Styela clava: one gene and its partner. Each later gene encodes a partner of the first gene's protein in a complex. Links are inferred from orthologs where the notes say so. Each region holds a gene or a part of one and is shown on either strand. Other genes may lie near its edges.

What was found. The genes of interacting proteins can lie anywhere in the genome.
Region 2: the proteins of WD repeat-containing and planar cell polarity effector protein fritz homolog (region 1) and protein inturned-like are in contact, whole or in part, in a cryo-EM structure (PDB 7Q3E), measured with the Mus musculus proteins. The link is inferred for Styela clava from reciprocal best matches to the Homo sapiens genes WDPCP and INTU. Residues at the interface, in NP_663400.2 of Mus musculus: Phe3, Cys4, Leu5, Ile24, Leu51, Ser54, Arg55, Asp56, Lys93, Leu385, Ala386, Glu387, Asp388, Tyr389, Ile427, Lys446, Leu447, Gly448, Ile449, Leu450, Thr451, Arg452, Gly453, Leu455, Leu462, Gln463, Ile465, His466, Tyr467, Gln487; in NP_780724.3 of Mus musculus: Val481, Gln484, Val488, Asp491, Ser495, Asp496, Glu498, Ala499, Ala500, Asp501, Ser506, Glu507, Asp508, Arg513, Arg514, Thr517, Ser532, His533, Leu534, Pro535, His574, Tyr593, Glu610, Gly613, Cys614, Ala615, Ser616, Lys617, Ser653, Pro654.

Annotation. Positions count from the first base shown.
Region 1 is NC_135251.1:12,945,908-12,956,074, forward strand, and holds the start of WD repeat-containing and planar cell polarity effector protein fritz homolog, read right to left. Parts: upstream 4,046-10,167; 5' UTR 3,838-4,045; coding exon 3,762-3,837; intron 2,779-3,761; coding exon 2,528-2,778; intron 1,855-2,527; coding exon 1,731-1,854; intron 1,361-1,730; coding exon 1,205-1,360; intron 476-1,204; coding exon 316-475; intron 187-315; coding exon 111-186; intron 1-110. Other genes in the region: uncharacterized protein LOC120336489, read right to left, coding at 6,630-7,662, 8,477-8,604, 9,100-9,175, 9,369-9,515, 9,632-9,725. UniProt on the Homo sapiens protein: Probable effector of the planar cell polarity signaling pathway which regulates the septin cytoskeleton in both ciliogenesis and collective cell movements.
Region 2 is NC_135250.1:6,316,544-6,327,405, reverse strand, and holds the start of protein inturned-like, read right to left. Parts: upstream 5,062-10,862; 5' UTR 4,988-5,061; coding exon 4,893-4,987; intron 3,446-4,892; coding exon 3,331-3,445; intron 2,824-3,330; coding exon 2,577-2,823; intron 2,323-2,576; coding exon 2,167-2,322; intron 1,798-2,166; coding exon 1,712-1,797; intron 1,175-1,711; coding exon 1,012-1,174; intron 473-1,011; coding exon 286-472; intron 1-285. Other genes in the region: uncharacterized protein LOC120343293, read right to left, coding at 6,425-6,565, 7,638-7,823, 8,173-8,350, 8,644-8,722, 9,050-9,124, 10,145-10,378. UniProt on the Homo sapiens protein: Plays a key role in ciliogenesis and embryonic development.

The DNA of each region.
Region 1 (10,167 bases):
TTAGTTCTATTACGAGTTCGGGGACTGTCTATGTTACCCGAGAATATTACCCCTTTCCATAGGCTTCAGACCTTCACCAAACTTGATGTAAAATTTAATTACCAAATTACCTGATTTTCATTCTTTCTGCTGAATTCAACATGAATTGGATTAGATTCTGTATATATAGAACTGTAGATTTCCAATCTGAATCAAAAAGAGAAAGATTTAACAGTAACAAGTTGTTAATAAATAGTGTACGACTTTTACTGCATTATCTGAATTGAGTATGGAATCGTTAGACTACCGAGTTTCACTATATCAAATCTTGCTCACCTGCCAAACGAAGATCCAAGTAGAATCATATTAGCTTTTTCTTCATTTGCATCAGTGGAAGTCCATGTTGATGGTGTTGTGTGCGATGTTGACCAACATATCGCAAGATTATGAGCTTTATTTACACACAGTTTTCTATTCCCTCTCATAGAACGAAAACCTAATAAAATTCAAAATTGAATTTAAACAAGATATTTATAAAAAAAAAATTGAATGTTGAATAGACATATTTTATGTTTGTTTACATTCAAAGAAGTTTTTGTACGAGTCATCATAAATTTGTAGCGATAAGAAGTTGATTTGTAGTTCTAAAATTTTAAATTGCCATTGTTTTTTGACCGGTGTTGTAAAACATGCGATGGCTTAATGATGGAAGCGTTGGACTAAGTTGGAATCAGAGATGACAAATCTCGGACTCAAATTCCATTATCACCACTTCACTCAGGGGTAATAAATTGAGTAGACAATGTTTGAAAACAGAAAAAAAGATTTTGGCACTTCTAAACTATAGCAGTGGATGTTAGTATGAAGTGTTGTTCAGGGTGAAATACACATAAACCGTAATAGTAGCAGTTAAATAGAACTGTACATTTATTAAAATTATATTTCTATTGCACATAATCATATTTTCAAAAAAAATATTTGAGTTTCGTCATACAATCAGGAATTCACCTCAAAAAATAAAACTACCGGTAATTAATTTTAAAAATCTATGAATCATGACATTTAGATAAGGACATATCATATAACTATACTTTAATAAAACAAAACATTCAATCAAACTAAATTCATCCGACTTATCAGCCACGATCAACAAAATAATTTTCTGTCACATGATACCGGCTCGCTGTCACTGTATTTTATAATTATGGGCAAACAATAAACAAACCTGGTATATCATGATAAGATATCTTCATGTCCATTGATGATAATTTACTTGATAGTTGTTTTTGATTGGGAGTTGCAGGTCTTTGTACAAAACTTATAAAACATAACTTATTTGCCTCATCCAAACAAAGTAATAAAAATCGATCTGTGAGATAGGCTGCAATGAGAAACAGAAAATTATTATTTAAATATAGATAGTGATAAGAGAAACTTTTAAGATGATAATGAAAAGCCTGGAAAGAAATACATGAAACTTAGGAAGCGAAGAAATACTTTCTGTCAGCTATATCCTGCTAAAAGCCTAGCTATTTTCCAAATCTGATATATTGATAAGACAACAGAAAAATTTATTCCAATTAAGAGGAAACAATGTATACTATCTGAGCCCCATCAAATCATTTTTGGCCTTTTACTCTAGCTATCACATCTCAAAAAATTAGAAATCTTTTCAGATTCAACTAGATCTGTAAATATTATATTATATATTATTCCTTATACAACTTGTTATACAATACATATTACAATACCTGCACCAATCGGTCCGAAGTCTGGTTGTATTTTTGTCAACAAAGATTTATCAAAAAATATTTTCTGTATATCGAAGTTCTCCGATAAAAGTATATTTATCAGCAAACCAGAATGAACAATTATCTGAAAACAATATGCTATTGGTTTATATTTTTTAGCTTAGCATACTAACATTAGTTGTCAACAAATCATTGCATTTTTCTTCCTACAGCTAGGAAATAAGTACAATTTTGCTACATATGAAAATTAAGATACCATTTTCTAAGTATATTTTAATAAATGACTATACCCTCTGAACAATCAATAGTAATAACAGAACATACAACATCTCAAAAATTATGACACAAATTTTTGTATCAATTGCATTTAATTATTCAACATAAGTAAACTCAAGCAAGCTAGATAACAGTAACAATGACAATGAATGGACAACCAAAACTCCTGGATAATGCTCATCAACAATCAAGCAGCAACACTACATTACATCTCAAATAATACCTGATGCTTGATATAAAAATAAACTTCATATTGTCTCATTATTGTTATTACTTTTCCTAATTTCAGTTGGAAGTGATCTTAGCATATACATATCTTCTTTGATTGTCTGTTGAGAATGCTTAAAACTTTTAATCGGGCTCCCACTCCCGAGAGTTTGAAGGTACAACAATATCTTCGAAATCAATAAAAACATGGTAAACAACACTAACAACCCTGAATGCTTCCGCCAAAAATCATGTTTCTTTCCAAATACTGAAATTTCTATAAAATAAGATATAAAAGTGAACTGAAATCAAACCTGAAGACTGTTTCGTTTATCCCATTTCACATGAAGAATTTTATGAGATTTCAGTATTTCTTCCAATTCTTTGATCGAATCTTTCAATCTTTCTGGTCTTTTATTTGGAAGAATCCACGTTCCTCCTCTGCTTTCAACATACTGCTGTTTAGTGTGATAATATTGTCCTTTAATTTTCTGACTCTTCTGTCTAGCTCCATCTTGCTTTTTCGATTCTTTGTCGTAATAACAGAATGCAGAAAGATTGTCTTCTATAAAAATAGAAGAAATATATCAATGAAGAAATTAATGAATTGTTATTCAGGAGTGGTTGTGATTATTATATAATATCTGAATATGGTGATTACTGGATTATAGTCAATACAACTGTCTGACTGTAGTACAGTAGTAGTGCCATACTTGATACAGAATTTTTTTATACAGCTGTACAGGGTCTTTTTCGAACATAAACAGCACCAGTCTTGTTGTGGAAATGTAGAGACTTTGTAGAATAATATGCGTCTCGTGTAGTTTCGTACCTAATGTACTTCTAGTGGGCGTAGCATAACAATTTTTTGATATGTCAATCATAACCCCCATCTGACTACGCCATCTGAAAATTACATCACTACGACATCACAATCACGTCATAGAGCTTGCCAAATACTCGTACAATCGCCCAAAATGGCATTGGCGGCGATGATAAAGAACTGACTGACATTATCGATCTCTCTTCTATTGGAATCGTTGCGACGAGAAAACGAGAGAAATAACTGTTCGATTTCGGGTACTTCTTTGCGCATCTTGGATGGCAGTTCGTATAGTTTGAAGGGCTCTATTACGTCACTGTGAGTCTGTGACGTTGTGTTAATGTAATTTTTGGATGGTGTAGTCAGTTGGGGGTTAGAATTGATACAGGAGAAAATTGTCATAATACGCCCACTAGACGTATGTTAGGCACGAAACTACATGAGACCCGAATAATATAAAGCAGGAAAGGGCTGAGAATGCAACTACTTTGTCAGTTTGTTGCTGTTGACAGATTGCCAGGTAAAAAATTTTTGTTGAATTAAAAAGTATGTCATACCCTAACTCTGATCCTAAATCAGCTAAGTTTATTTCGCCTCCATAATCAGCATGAATGACGATTTAATAATTCTGTAATTGATAATAATAAATAAATAAGCACTGATTGTGAATTGGACTAGATTAATGCCAACTTCTTTTCAAAGGATACCATGCGGTACATACATACCTGGGATTTGGCACTGTCTATCATTGAAGGTCCAATACTGTATGCCGCAAGTAATCGTACAGACTGAAGACGACATTCCTCCCGACTGCAAGCAGATCTAATGTGAGTAACTTGTCGCAACTCATTAATTCGGGAGGACCCACAATTTTATCCGTTAGTTTTTGACTCTCGCGCAACATCTTGCGGATGGTTAAATTCCATGTTCAAAATTATGGAGATTAGACAGAGCTGTTCAGCAATCATCCCGCACATGAAAAAACGATCGTAAAATTTCTCCGACTCCATAGCTCTACCCTTTAGTCTGGTGCCAATCACAAACCAAATTTATACTTACATATTTGTGATTGACGGATACGATGACTAATGATGATGATTGACTAATAAGATGGCTCGGCGCGGCGCGGCGGTGTGGCTCAACGGGCTAAGCGCTAGGAATACGCTCGCCACCGCACCTCTAATTACTTTGCGTGGGTTCGCAGGTTCGAATCCCATGCAGGGATGATTATGTGCGAGAGGATTGCTGGACTCCTCGCCGTCGTTGGGTGGTTCACGTAACCGCTGGTCGGTTACGGCTTCCTCTACCACCAAGTCCATGCTTCCGAAAACAAAACAATATAGAACTAATCCCATACCCGACTTGGAATGGTGACTGGACGAGAGGCCGTGGTTCGCCATATGGTTAAGGCGTCTTATCGGCTTTCCTCTCTCCCCAGGATAAACATGTAAATCCTATCCTATAAATCCTAAGATGCGCGTCGATGTGGCTCATCGTGCTAAGCGTTAGGAATACGCTCGCCACCGCACCTCTAATTACCCTACGTGGGTTTGCAGGTTCGTATCATCTGACCAGCGTCAAAATTTCCAATACAAACTGACATGTTGACAAAAGGTATTATGTACACGTCGCTTTGTTCTTAATTGATCTTTCTGTAATCATTTGTGTCAGTACTTCATGCTCTACAGAAATAAAATATCTAAACATGATTTTGTATTTCTTAACCTAGATGAAGTTTTTTTTTCATTTTCCCCAATCAATGTGTGTTCATTGTGCTGTTTTGCGTGTTTTTTCGTTTCGGAAAAATAAAAATAAACTTATACTGATACGATCGTCAAGGTTTGCGGTCGCTTCGTACCCAAGACTGTCCAATAATAATACATACCGTGCACACTGTTATCTCCGGTCTTACATATCGCAAGTTCCCGCACCTCTGTTATATACTATCCATCTTCTGCGCCTTTCACGTCTTTAATTGCCAATAAGCACGTGGTTAACTTTGGAACACAATCTGACGCAATCGAACTTAGGTAGCTACAAAGCAACGCGAAGGTTAAAAGCGAGGCAAACTTAAATGAAGGGACTACCATATTATATACGAGGATAATATATGACGGCGCGGCAGTGTGGCTCATCGTGCTAAGCGTTAGGAATACACTCGCCACCGCACCTCTGATTACTCTGTGTGGGTTCGCACCCCGTTCGGGGATGGTCACGTGCCAGAGGATTGCTTGACTCCTCGCCGCCGTAGGGTGGTTCACGCAACCGCTGGTCGGTTACGGCTTCCTCCACCATCAAGATTTGTCGGTTGAATAATAGGTACAGGTACTCGGGATCATGTTGAAATGTACAGACCATAGTTTTATAATGAATGGGTGGTATGACATGATTGATGAATTCATACTTAGCACAACAGGTGATAAAATGGTTTTTGTGAATACAGTATTTGGGTATCCCAACCACATACTTCATCCAGAATTTTGATATTTTTGCACCTTTTCAACAAACATGGTGCACAGCTCCAGTCTAATACATCATTTCAGTAGCACACTCGACACAAAGTGCCAAGAATGAACCCTATATATCCTACATGAGCAGACATCTATTTGCATAAACAAATGATTCGGATTCTAGGACTGTAAGAAAATGTGCCGAGGTGAGTCTATCAAAATGGTCATAATAGTTCAAATGTGTTAGGAACAAACTAAGGACTACCAGCTTGTTCGCGCAAAATCTGAGCAGCGGACAGATAGAAAATCATCTTGTAAATGAAATCATTTCGATGAAAAAGAATAATTACGACATGATCATTAATCTAGGTTCAAGTGTTTCAATATATGAAATCTCACTAGACGAAATTTTTTTTTGATATTAACTACGATTCTTCAATAAGATTTGCACACTGGTAAAAACTATGGTGTATAATATTTCATTCAACAATAATAATAGGAACTGTAATATTAGTTGCCAAAACTGTTTTTCAGTCACAAAGAAACAGACAAAAAATATCTGATAGGTTGAATTTCATTTACTGTGTACTTCAAATCAGAAAATTAGTCGTACAGCAGTAGAATTATCATAAAAAGAAATGGAATATTTATTGAACATTAGATTTGAGTAATCAAAGAAAATTGATGCCAGAATTACAACGAATTATGTTTTTATAAAAGATTGTAACATCATAGTTAGCTCCAATAAACATTGGATCAGCATATGCTTATATAATAACCATGATGAACATATTATCTTGATTGCCTGAAGCCTTCAAATGGATAATTTACAAGGATTACTGGAATGGATGGTTACAGTACAACTCGAGTAACCACTCCATGGACCATGCAAATATCTATTCGTTGATCTGGTTACCTATCCCCATACATCACCTCAGACACAACCAAACCAGAGGCAGTGGTTCACCTTATAATTATGCATGTTCATCAGCTTTAATCCCCCTTCCCCTAGTAAAACAATCCTTTCCAATGTAGAAATAGAATATCTGAATAAAATAGTTCACAAACGGGATAGAAATTAGTAATACAGAATGCATCTGGAACTCATGCCACTGATCGACTTCATGTTTTTCATAAAATAACCTAAGCATCGTAATCATCATCATCACTTTTTGCTCTAGAATTAGGCTTTGCTTGATGCAAGCTAGGATGAGCTGCTAAGTGTGAATTTATGCCTAAATGGTGGCTCGGTGGCGTCAGGATGGATTGCGTATATCCTAAGTAATGTCTCTGCGTTGTGGTTGGATTATACGGAACATATGGGTAAGTATAAGGATTAGGTGCACGTTGAAAATCTGGGGGCCCAGATGAAAGTTCTTGTTTTATTAGCGCTGCCGCACCGTGCTGTGTTTTTTCCAGGCTCAGCTGGTTATTTAGAGGTGGACGAGTATCAGGATACAAAAGAGGTTGTCTTAGGCCAGCAGAAGGTTCTGGCAATCTGTGTTGCGTAAGTGGGGAGTATGCATATTTGACTTGGGGCGTCAAAGACGGTCCCTTCGAAACAGTGGTCGTAGCCGGTAATTGTGGTAGAGGCATAGGTGCGGAACTGTAAAGAAAAGATAACATGCCACCCGGTTTTGGAATCACTGGAGGAACATTGTCTTGAGAAGGCTTGTTAGAATCGCCAAAATCGTCTATGTTTTGTTTGTTTCTGCCTGTGCTTGTATTTGACTCACTTTCCTCTAAACTTTTTACTTCATTAGAACTCGCTTGTATTGGCTTCTGATTTGCACATTGCGTATCTCGAATATTAGCACTGCCTACAGCTGCAGTAGACTGTGAATATACTGCTGTGTTTGCGACGATAACCCCTTGTCTGACAGAAGAATCGTGTTGTTTTTCATGCCTATTGTTTTCTTGTGGTAATGATGTATCCATTGATTGTGCTGGTTTGTCTGCTGTTTCGTTATTTTCAAGATCAGTGAATTTTTTATTGTCACTCGGTTCTTTATTTGTATCAGACGAGGCTTCAATTTTTACAGGTTGGTTGACATTCACCGTAGAAGGTAAAGCATCACTAGACAACAATACATCAAGTGGGATGTGAATAGATGGTTTGCGTTCAGGTCCAGTTGTTACCTGATCAGCTTCAAATTGATTGTGTAGTGAAGAAGTGCTGAAATAATGAAAATAATTCAACATGGATATAGAAATGATTAAATAATTCACAAAACTGTTGAGGTTTTAATAAATGTAATAGAGCAGGGTATCTTAATTAATGAGCCCTTGACTCCTCTTAGGGGCCAAAAAGCAGTTCTTTTGGGATGACGAGCGAGAACCTTCATCAGTCACCATTTGAAATAACTACATGATTAATATTAAATTGACTGTCATTTGTTTGTTTGACTTATTTGCAATTCATTCAGGCTCTGTTGGCTTTTTAATAATTAGACATGTTGCATGAGTCTTTAAAGGGGGAGCTGTAACAATGAAAGTATAGGAAACCACTGGCACCTAGCTAGAGCAGGGCTTCCCAAACTTTTAAGCTTGCGACCCTATCCAATATATTAAAAAGTTTTGCGACCCCCTGAAGGCTGCGGTGAAAGATATTGGGTTCACTCTTCACCCACCATCTCACCCAGGTCGTATTACCGTATCACACAGATTTGTCAAGCATATTAAAGAATCTTTATATATGTCCCAAAACAGGGGAGACAATCTAATTATATAAAGAACCATGGCACAATGCCGGATGCTATTCTGGTTAGCAAACTTAATTATTGATTTATGTGAGCCATACAGTGTTAACGAGAATCCTAAAAATCCTCTTACACAAGACCATTACAGCTATCCTCTCGCACAGGTGCAATGGAAAGAGTGACGCTTAGCGCAATGCACAACTGCCAAGCCATAGCAAGTACCTACAATATGTCGTACTATTTTACTTAGAAGTAACACACAGAGCATCATTATTAACACACAGTTCATACCTTTGCATTTCTAATTTACTTTGAATTGATGGACTGAGTAGACCAGGTGATGAAAATGAAGATGACAATTGTGCATCACTTTCTTCGTTTCCGGACTCGTTCTCACTCGCATCATTACCGGAATCAGTCTTAAAGTCAAGTTAAGTTTGTTAAATGTCTCCTCTTCACACAGATGTACAATATTGATAGCAAATTAGTATACATAAATATGGTGTATATTAGGATTTAGTCATTATTATGGACACTACGGATAGTCAGATTAAAAGCGAATAAAAATGTCATGTCTCTAATAACAATAATATTTGATTTCAAGTTGACATTTTTGCATATTATTCACTTAGTGAGAGATTCCAGAATACTTTTTCGCCTTTAATTTCGAATAAATGAAACTTGTCTGATTTTGAGGAATTTAAATTAACAGTCTACTAAAGGAGTTAAGTGTGGAGTCTGAATTTTTATGGCCCGAAGTTGGAGTCACTATTTCCTTAACTTAGCTTTGTTGCTTATCTAGGTTGTTATTCAAAAATATGAAGACAAAAAATATATAAACAATAGTACATGCCAAGAGGATAAAAATATTTGAGTAGTTTGCAGTTACAGTAAATGTATTTTAAAACACAAACCTCGTCTTCGCTATAATTATTTGAATGTCCTAGCTTTAGTCGTTTTTTTGGTGTTTTCTTAACTTTAGAAGAACTCCTAGAAAGGAAATTATTGTATTAGTAGTAATATGACATAATAAGTTATAAAAAAGCCATAAATCATTTAAGTCAGTTACTGTATGGAATCAAAATTGTACCTATTGAAAATACGAAAATTTATTTGAATAGTTGTAGTTTTCAAGTTTATTTTCCTTTATATATTCCTGGTTACATGAACAACGTATGCATACCTTTTCCGAACCACTTTCTTCGCTGGTTCTCTTTCCATGGAAAGACCCATACTCCCGGAAGCTTCATCTTCATTTTGTACATCAGGTATATTGGCTACATGATCTTTCAAAAAATCGAACATTGTTTCTGACATGATGCATTGTTTTCTAAATGAGAATGAGATAAATTTGAACTATGATAGCAATACAGAAATCCTACAAAGTGGTTTTCTATTCAAAACACGATAGAAATTAGGAAAAATGAGTTATAAATCGTCACTTACAAGTGAGACCTTGACATTGTTTTTGCTCGTTTTGATTTTGTGACTTCACCTGCCTTCGCCAGTAAGGAAGCTAGGAACATTTCCAAGCATTTAGCTGTATTGAATCATTAAGGAAGAACATAAAACATTAGAGGTATCCTAAATGCGGATAAAGAGATACGCAAGATGAATAATCGTATATGAAATGTTCTCACTACAATTAGTGTGTCACTATGAAAACTATTTATTACTAACTATTAATGCATTATGGGAAATGAGATTGAAACCACGGATTTTAGTCAGATGCATCCTTTTTGCAACAGGAGGGCTATACATAACTGACATAGAATAACCAAAGACATAGCAACTTCACCAACATAGCATAGGATAGGATTTACATATTTATCCCGGGGGAGAGGAAAGCCGATAAGACGGCTTATCCATATGGCGAACCATGGCGAACCGACCAGCGGTTACGTGAACCACCCAACGACGACGAGGAGTCCAGCAATCCTCTCGCACATAACCATCCCTGCATGGGATTCGAACCTGCGAAC
Region 2 (10,862 bases), on another chromosome or scaffold:
CTGTTTAAATTTCAATTACTCAAATTGAATTTGCCAATTTTGCTGTTCGAATCAAAAATGAGGTTTTGCTGTTGCTTCCATTACTGACGAACAAATCGAATCTCCATTTTCAGTGTTTTAAATTGAAATTTCATATTTTTCTGTTCGAATCAGGAATTCTTTTTCATCGTTCGAATAGTATTTTTGCTGCTGTTTGAAACAAAACTTCCATTATTACTGCTCAACTTAAAAGTTTGAAGCTGGCTGGTTACTTTTATTTAACAAACAAACCTATATTATTCTCACCTTAAAATTTCACTCCTAAATGCGTCTGTTGTTACATCAGCAAGCGTAGTAAAAATTCCACGAATAGACTTCAATTTTCTGGTACTTGAATTATCTATCGTGGGAAAAGAGTATAAAATATCTTCCTCTCCTTTCGCAGTATCAGAATCAACATTTAACGTTAGATAAAACACAGCATTGTGAGGACCTAGAATAGAAACATTTTAATTAGTAATAAAAAAGGTTTCGAACTTTTCAAATTTGTGATGTATTTTCTTACAATGCTTTTTACTCCACTCGAAACAAAGCCCAGGACAAGAATCTAATCATATCCAACAATTGCCAAAAGCTACCATTTTTGTGAAGACTGGGAGATGAACGTACGATACAGCTACATAGCCAGTCATACTTCTCTATCAGTGCTAATTTTATCCGAATGGATCATTTTATGCAAAGTTCATATTGGGATATGCTATTATTGTGCTTGCATAGTAATTGATGTTATTTTTCCATTTGCTTTGTTTGGTTGTACTAAAATCGTTTCCAACAGTTAGGCCTAAGTTGCATTGAAATCACAAGAATATAATAGAGTTGGTAATCCGTGAAGTAACTGAACAACACACCACCAAACAGTTCTCGAATAGGGCAAATAGGAAACAATGTTTGGTATTTTGTGACACACTTGCAAAGTTAGGCACCACTGACTAACACCAAAAAAAGTTCTAATAATAGATCTCTTGGACATACCTATTTGCAAATCCGTATCATTTGTAACAGAAGGCTTTAGATGTTGAACAGATACAGGAACACATTTTGGTTCACTGTCAGATAACAAATTGTTGCTATCCAATGCAAGTCCAAATTCAGGTGTCGTAAGATTTATTTTTTCACATTGTATTGTCAATTTTAACTAAAAACAAGAAGATGATCGCTGAAATTAAAATAGGCTTTCACTTCTTTTCATAATATTGTAATTTATCGTCAAAAATATGGTTGAAAATTTTGAAGCTGAATAACCGATGGACCTGAATTCAATATTCGAACACATTTCAAAATGGGTATAATGAATATAGGTAATTCTGGATTTTATTAAGAATAATTTAGAACAAGTTTATTAAAAATTTCTTCATTCTGAGTCATTGACATTTGACACGCATACAAAAATAATATTCAGTTTCTTTTTAAATCTGACAATCTGTATATAATATCAAATTGAAGTAAACCTTCTACATAAAAATATAATTGTTTGTACAAATTTCTGAGATGAATATAACATTATTTTCAACCTATTCGATTTTCAGAATTCAGAATAGTAAATTATACCATCTTAGCTTTCGCTATATACGATATATCTCATACTACTGAATTTCAGATCCCTTATATTTAACCAAAAAACAAAAAAGATTAAAATATCAAATTACTAATGGAAAAATAAATGTTTTCCTACCTCCATTCTCTGGGGTATCCTTCTGAGTACTTGCTCTATATTAGATCGATAAACAGCAACATCGTTAATGGCGAGTAAAATATCACCTTCAAAGGTAGTAATTATGAGTAATTTACTAAATTTCTATGTTGGCCAAAAATAATACATTTAATAGTACAGTATTATCGGCGTTCAGTCAGTAAAAATTTTATTCGAAAAAAAAATTCGGAATTGGAAAATAATTAAAATTCAACTTTGCAACTGATAACATTTATTATAACACATTGGCAGTCAAAAGTAAAATATCCAAATATATATGAACAATTTGGCGCTCCTTTCATATTAAGGACTGCTGGCATCAAGTCTTTTACCAAATGAAAAAGTTAAAACGCATCCAAAACTTTTTTTTCCGAATCGCTGAGACCAATTGAAAATATTAATCATGTTAAATAGCATTTTCAAGTTATAAAACTTACCTATTTCAATGGCTTCACTTCTGAAAGCAGGCCCATCAGGTAACAATGCACTGATTATAATAGATTTATCATCGCTAGTCTTCGCAAAATATTGTCCTCCGTTAAGACTGTTGAGAGAAATGATACCGAGCATTTGTTTCAACAAAGATGAATCACCTAAAAAAAAATGTAAAATATATTGATATTGAACAAATGAAAATCCAACAAACATGTTATCAATTATTCAACAAACAAAAAATGTCATTAATAAAAAAATATTAGTATACACTGTACAGAGCCTTTTTTGGAGTGAAAGGCCCCCCTTAAGAAAAACATATGAACCCATCAATTAACCCACACGAGTAATAAGAGGTGCCCGTTCACTGGCAGGGGTGAACGACTTTCAGAACTAATCCCTTAATAACTCTAACCTGATCCATACGATGACGCCGAGTTCACACAAACAAAGACAGTTTTAAATTCATTGTCGCTTTCATCCGAGTGAAGTCTGAAAGAATCGTGTTGCCTATGTCTATTCTGTTGCTGATTCCGATGAGCTAAGTATTCATCTCTTATTGTTTTTCGTTCATTCACGCTAATTGAATGGGTTTGTCGATGGGATGGAGCGTTTGATGCTGTACCGTGCAGGTCTGTGCTTGACAATGTGTTGTCGAATTTCTGTATAGAAATATATTACTTCAAAGATGACAGCAATGCTCAAATAAATAGATACAGAGGTCATGCATCTGTGAAGTATGGTATGGCCTGAGAACTTCAAGTTTGCAGACAAGAAATACAGGGGCGGGTCAAGCAATACAGAACAGGAGGTGTTTTCTAAAATTTTGGTGAAATATCAGGGACTCCGAGAAAATTAAAATAGCAACTTTTCCATCATAGAGTTGGCCCACTGAAAATTCAAAATTAACTTGTCCATCAGATATGGAGTAAAGATTTTTTTTTCCCAACAACAAACCAGAGAAAAAAATTTAGCAAAATGTATAACTTTAGTTATAGATTATGGCAGAACAAACCTTTTACAACAAAATAAAAACTTTTATCACCCCAAAATTTGTGCAATGGCAAGTGTGTATCCCACCCACAAAAGGCCAACCCCAAGTCTTGTTTTTCCAATTAAGAATAGGAGCCTGGCTGAGAGGTCAACTAGGCCTACTAATGCCAAATTACTTTGTTTCGAGCATCTCTATTTTGCTGCACTGTTTGATGTACTGATGTTTCATCTTCAACAAAAAATAATTCTCCATCATCATCTATTTCATCATGCCATGGTGGGTTTGAATCACTGTAGAAATGAATATGTTTACTATCATATCATTTGAAAACATCACTGGACAGGTAATTGCATGCGCATATAAATAATTAGTAAGTAAATATAGGATAAGCTTTACATATTTATCTCGGGGGAGCTGGTTTAGACTGCTGAATCACATGGCAAACCATGGCCTCTCGCCCGGTTACCAGTCCATGTCGGGTACAGGATTAGTTAGCCAGTTACCATTAAATTGCCAAACTTCAAGGTGTAGTGTAATCTAGTACCACAAGTACTTCTAGTGGGCTTGGCATAACCATTTTTACATATGTCAGTATGTTATTGAGGTGGGGGTTAGGTATGACAATATAATACAATTCATTCAGAAAATACAACACTCAGTAAAAAAAATCGGGTCCCATGTAGTTTCGTACCTAACATACTTCTAGTGAGCGTAGCATGATAATTTTCATGTATCAATCCTAACCCCCACCTGACTACACCATCCAAAAATTATGTCATTAAGACGTCACAGTGACGTAATACAGCCCTTCAAACTATACGAAAATGCCATCCAAAACGCGCAAACGAGCACCCGAAATCGAACAGTTATTTCTCTCGATTTCTCGTTGCAACGATTCCAATAGGAGAGGGATCGATAACCCCAGTCAGTTCTTTATCGTAGGCGCCAATGCCATTTCGGGCGATAGTCGTATATTTGACAGATTGTTAGGATTGACATATCAAAAAATTGTTATGCTACGCCCACCAGAAGTACATTAGGTACGAAACTAAACGAGACCCAAAAAATCATATTACAGAAATGCCAGGAAAACGAGCAAAACTCAAGAATATAGTTCATAACATGTAATGCACGTGCCTGTTCACCAAAAACAACACACATAATATGATAAGATTATAATAAAAAAGACTCGATGAGCAGAAGTGAGAGGCTGGTCGGGTGTTTCGTGTGATAGGAAAATGAGGCACGAGGCACGCATGCCTAGGTTACTTGCTACATGAAAATATCAAAATTTGAAGGCAGGTAAACTGTTTAGTATGCGAACTATTAACAATTAAGATTCCGGAAGAGGCCGTTTTTGCATTAAATAAAATTATTGGTATCACACAGGTCATATCTGACATATAAAAAAAAATTGTTGCTCCACGCTCATTAGAAGTTAGTGTGGAACGAAACTACACAAGTACCCAAACCTCGGACAAAAATTTTAAACTTGCATAGCTATCTTGGCTAGAAAAGCGTCGTACAGTCGTATATTGCCAACGAAATACAGTTAGAGCATAAAATTGCGCAGTCCATAGGCTGTAGCTCAAAATGATCAACATTTAAACATTGTAGTATGGCAGGAAATTAAATAGTATATTTTAGATTGAATTGTATAAACCGACAGCAAAATAGCATCAATTCATTCATTTGCTACCGTCAGACCGTTATTGAAATAAAAACAAAGTCACTTACTCAGAAAACTCATCAGCTCCGGAACTAGAATATGTATCACTGTCGTCAAAATCTGAAATGTTTTCTGTACTCTCATTAACATTAGACCGCCACATCGTACTTATCGATTCTTGAAAAATCTCCACCGTCAACTACAAACCTAATGCCGAGACAACAACACTCGAATTTCAAAACAATAAACAGCGAGTACTACAGCGGCCACCTGGCGGGACCTTTGATTAAAATTTTCCAAGGTTTCGAACAAAATGTAGAACAGGCGGAATTTGAAATATATTTTCCCTGTACCATTTCTACGTATAATCAACACAACTTGAGGACCGCAAAATTAGAATTTATTGTACAGAAGGAGTAATCGGTAATGACACGGGGATAGAGGTCATTGGAAACTGTACCCACTGTCGACATATCGCATCTGCATTCCCACATACGTATATTGAAGAGACGATAATTTGCTTTGAAGGGTAATCAGGTAAATATTTTATCATCTTCCGTGCTGACCAAACCAACTCTGACACTCTTAATACCACTAACAAATATCTCGAAAAAAGGTTACACTCACAGCTAGTTTTGCTAGGCGACCCATCACTTTCTGAGCCTGATCCCAGACCAGGAGTTAGCAAACACCACAAAAACATGTTCACAGCTCGGATCAACGTCAGCCCATTCAACAAGTAATGCCTAAGCCTAACACAGTGACAAACTCAAATTAAAACTATGTGAAATAATAATTTTCTTCAGAGATGAGAACAAAAACATCTTCGAATACAATTGAAGATAGGAAACTGCGCACCTTCCCCAAGTCCTAACATTGCAAAAATGAAAACCAAACTGATTTCATCACAATTGTACTTTATTTACATTTTCAAAATGCTTGAAACGATGCATGCCATCAATATTCAATTATAAACATTCGATTACCAATGCAATAGAAAACTTAGCTTCAACTACAAAGACTTAACATCTTTCAAGTCTAAAATATTCAATCAAATTCCCCATGACAATAAGGTCAATTTCTGATGATATTATTACTACAAAGCAAGATTATATACCTACTACAAGTCGAATGGGCTTCCTTGTAATAGATTCTACATGCAAAACTACGGCTTTTGTTTGTATCAAAAGCAATAATAACATAATTCGGTAAATTCTCAACTCATTGATGGAACTGGAAAAGTTATAAAACCTATTACAAAATCAACTGACAACATTCATTTCTAAGCATACAAAGGCAGTGTTATAAACAAATTCAGATCGTAAAAAAAATTTTCGATCGCGAGTCGCAAATCAATTGCTAAAAATTGATAGGCTAAAAGCAAGATTTGCCTAATTCAACATGTAAACTACAATCAATTCGTCCTTTATTGGAGAGTAGCGATTCTAATAATAGGATATTCATTTTGATATTTAATCAAGTAAGATGCTAAAAAATTTCAGAAAAACACTCAATAATAAAGGTCCCAGGCAGACAACTTGGCCTACGCTTGATCATTGAAGCAAACTGCTGTTGTTTTTGTTGTTGTAGGTTCCAGCGTTTAGGATTTTGGCACCTGTTGCTGTTGTTGTTGAGCGGCTGCGGCTTGCTGATTGTAGTACTGCTGATAGTTAGCATAGTAGTTTTGATATTGTTGGTTCTGTTGTGCCTGGTAGTACTGTGCCCATTGTTGGCTGTAATCCTGAATATACAAATAAAAATAAACACATTAAAAAATGTACAAAAAGATGAACGAAATGCTTGAATCTGAGTCAAGAAATATTAATTTGTTCGAAAAATAAATACCTAGTCAGCACAGTAAACATGAACAGCTCTTTCAAAAGGCACATGCGCATGTTCTTACTTATCGATTATAATCGATAAGTATGTTGATAGGTATTTGTCTGTATGTCTGTTAGATGCACGCGATATCTCACGAAAGCGAGATTGAATCTGCTCCAGATTTTGCATGTGCATTCATCTTATCTCGGACCAGAAGCCTATTGATTTTGGGCGAATTATGTCATATAATTAGCGAGTTATCAATCAATTATTGATATAGTGATCTAGATTTTTGTAAAGCGAGAGAATTTTGAGACCCGCCGAGTGTGTGTGTGCGATGTGCAGTGCGCAAGTTACAAGAGCGGATGAATCGAAACCGCAGTTTCTGTTTTGGGGGATCCCCTAACTATCGATCGATAAGTCTTCGGTTTCCAACCGATATTCTCGTTTAAATGTTGTCTACTTAAATAATTTAGGAAATTTTTTTTTACCAACTGCCTAATATTATTTTGACAACTTCTTTTATGGTATTTTATTCACTTATCGGAATCACCGAAAAAAAAACAGAAAAAAAAGTGATGTACATTTGCTGTGCATAAAAGCGGTAAGGCAATAATGGACCAATGTTCAGAACGGTGTCACAAAAATGTTGCGTCCCGCTTTTACCCTTTTTAGTACACTTGTTGGTACTCCCGTAGTGTGTGTACCAGGTTAGGGTTGGGCCATAATTGTTTTCCGATATTCCTTATTTTAGTTCTATTACGAGTTCGGGGATTGCTATCCGAGTGAATGTACAGGGCAGGGGGCCCATAGCTTTCAGTCCCTTTAGACAACTTGATGTGAAGTAGGGAACAAAATTAGTTACCTCCAGATTGTTACACACACTTCTGGAGCGCCCTTGTTTCAATTAGCTACACTTGTCCCATTGTTCTGAGTTGGGATAAATACATTTTGCGGATTAATTAGCAAATGAACTAAAAAATCTAAAAAACCTGTTGTCCGTATTGTTGTTGGTAGCCTTGTTGTTGGGTCTGAGCATTTGAAGTTTGTGACTGAGTGCTAGGTTGTTGATAGTTATAGCCCTGCATACCATAGTTGGCGTAATTCTGCATTTGTTGTTGCTGCCTCTGTTGTGGTTGTTGTTGCTGTTGGTTCGGGTGATGACCGTAAGTGTACGACTAAAAAGAGAGAATAATAAGAGTTAAAAGTGCCACGACCAGAGATAAAAAATGAATGAAAATTAAAACAGCTTCCTTTTGCTTTAATTTTGAAATATCAAGAGATAAAAATTTTCTTAATAACCGATCCTCCAAAATATGACTACATATTTAGCTACAGGAACTACAGAGATATTTGAATTTCCCATGTCACTGAACCACTTCTAGAGTTCAACTAACTGGATGGTGGCAAGAAATATGGCTAAAATGGTAATGGTCATACCAATAAAACCATTGCCTATGAAGTAGAAGCCCAGGTCCGATGTAAAAAGAAGCTTTGATGCCGCAGAGGTTGAATACTACATCATACCTGAGCTGAAGGATGAGTGTTAGATGAGGCATTATTTCCTTGATATTTATTCTGTCCACCACTGCCTTGTCTTCCCTGGTATCCACCACTTCCGCCTCCATTACGATAACCTCCTCCACCACTGCCGGTACTGCTACTACTACTACTACTACTACTTCCTCCTCTTCCTTGATTGTGCCTGAAAATGGAAATTATTAGAAACATTAACAGCGTTTCATTCGGGATAAAACATAATGCATAGACAACGCCAAATGGTAACTATTCTGCCGCTCTGAATATTTTTCTGCTTCTCTAGAATCCTATTTTGAGAAGTGTGAAATTCGTCGTCAAGGTATTATATTCATCACGAAAAACTGAATTTAGGTAAGGCATAAACACCATCAAATTTGAGAGTGATTGGAACAATACTGAACAATAACAATTAAAATAGATGGAAGATTTATTCAATTAAATCATATTATAAAAACATACTTATTGTATCCTCCATACATATCACCACTTCCGCCACCGCGTCCACCTCCATATCCGCCACGACTCTGTTGCCATCCACCTGTTGTATTAGCGAAACACAAAATGAGAGACTACAAATAATGAAATGACAAATATAAAATAAATATGTAAAAATGTTTGAATCGATTCTAGCTACATTGTATGGTTTTCCATAGATTTACTGTGAACGAAATAAAAATTGCATAATAATGAAATTTGAACAATTCAAAATTGCTGTTTGTTTTAAAGTGAAATTTGCATTTTAGACACAAAGTCGACATAAATTTACTACTCTCTTGTTGTTGTAGTTAGAAACATCTGTGTTGATGTGATGCAAGCATCTCACATAACTTATGCAAATAAATTCTTGTTACATTATTGCTTTTACCTCTTTTGGCTCCGTCACGACTGCCGCCACCACTTCCGCCACGATTGTCTCTTCGTCCACCTCCACGGTTGTAATCTAGAACATGGGTGTGCAATTAATTTCTTTAGTGGGCCACTTACAGATACTAGACTTGGTCACTGGGCCATAAGTTCTTAACCCAATAGGAAATTATGAATGAAAAAGGTAATTTGCACGTCTAAACGCTAGTCCCGAGCACTGTTCCTGGCAGAGAAGTTAAAGTTTTACAATGACATTAATAATTCGGATGGGTGAGTTTGAGGTATATGAGGCTTATTTGCACATTATATTTAGGTTAGGGTTATGTGTAGAGAATATTTTTGCCAACAATTTGTTATTCCCATCAATGTTTTCATTGAAATATATATTCATAAAAACTTTAGTCATAGTTTTAGCAGACACAAGTGGGCCGGACGAAACACTTCAGTGGGCCGTAATTTGCCCATCCTTAATCCAGAGGAAACATTGAGTCGTTGACAAGCATTTTAGATTGACAAACAAACCATAGTTCTCAGATTTTAATATGGCGCTTTACCACCTGGCAAGTATTAAAATTGGCATGTTGAAACTGTAGAATGTAGTTCCCATACAAGTGCTAGATAGAACCTAATCACCAACTAAAGGTTGTGGTTTGTTTATATAATCAAACCATCTTATCAGATGACTCCGTCAATAATTTTAGTTTAAATGAAGCAAGATTGGTAACACATGGGTAGTGACATCAAACTGGCAAGACAAGTATCGGTAATTTACCAAACCTAACTGAACAGAATAAACACCTCCACTACCAATAGCAATTATGTTGCCAAGAACAAAACATGGCCAATATGGAGGTAACTAATTTTGTTTGCCTACTTTACCTCGAGTTGTATAAAGTGACTGAAACGTATTGGCAGAGGGTGTATTCACTTGGCTAACACAAACAGTTCCTGAACTCAATAGAACTAAAATAAGAAAAATCGGAATAAAATTATGGCCTAACCCTAACTTGGTACACATATCACAGGAGTGCCCCATAAACATATTGAATACTATAAAAATATCACAAAATTTGGTTTGACTATAGATACTACTTACCTCTTCCCTGATCGTATCCTCTGTTTCCATAACCCCCTCTTCCTCCATAGCCTCCACCTCTACCTCTGAATCCACCCCCGAAACCACCTCCTCCGCCTCCTCTGCCGTACCCCATTGGGCCCCCACCCCCTCCTCCGTATCTTCCCCAACCACCCCTATTTCCGTATGGCATGGGTGGTCCATAGTTGTCTCTTTGACGCCACCCACCGGGTCCTCTGCTCCTGTTGTCACCATCTATATGGAGAAATATGTTATAAGAACAGCTAGAAAGTGTAGTTCAACTAAAATATAAGAGAATACTGTAAATCAGGGGTGTTCAACCTGCGACCCGCGAGCCAAATGTAGCCCACAAGGAAAAATTGTGTAGGTCACAGAGTAGTGCCAATAATATGGTGTGAGGCCAGCCAAATGAGTTTTTAAATTAGTTTAATCTAATATGTGCGAGAAATTCAAATTCTTTTGCGTTACACCTGAGCAAAGCGAACAACATGTCAGAAGATCAATACCCAAAATTTTTGTACCAGTAACTACTAGAAAGTCTGTTAAATAAAGGTGTGGCCCGCGGCTTCACCTGTTATTTGTTCTCAGAAGTTTTTCAAAAATATTTGATAATACTATATTCACGACAGCAGGAAGCAGTCACTACTTGTACAAGTAGAAGGCGCTCAAGCGCTGAATAAAAAACAACCACATTTTACAAATATCTTCATTTTCAATT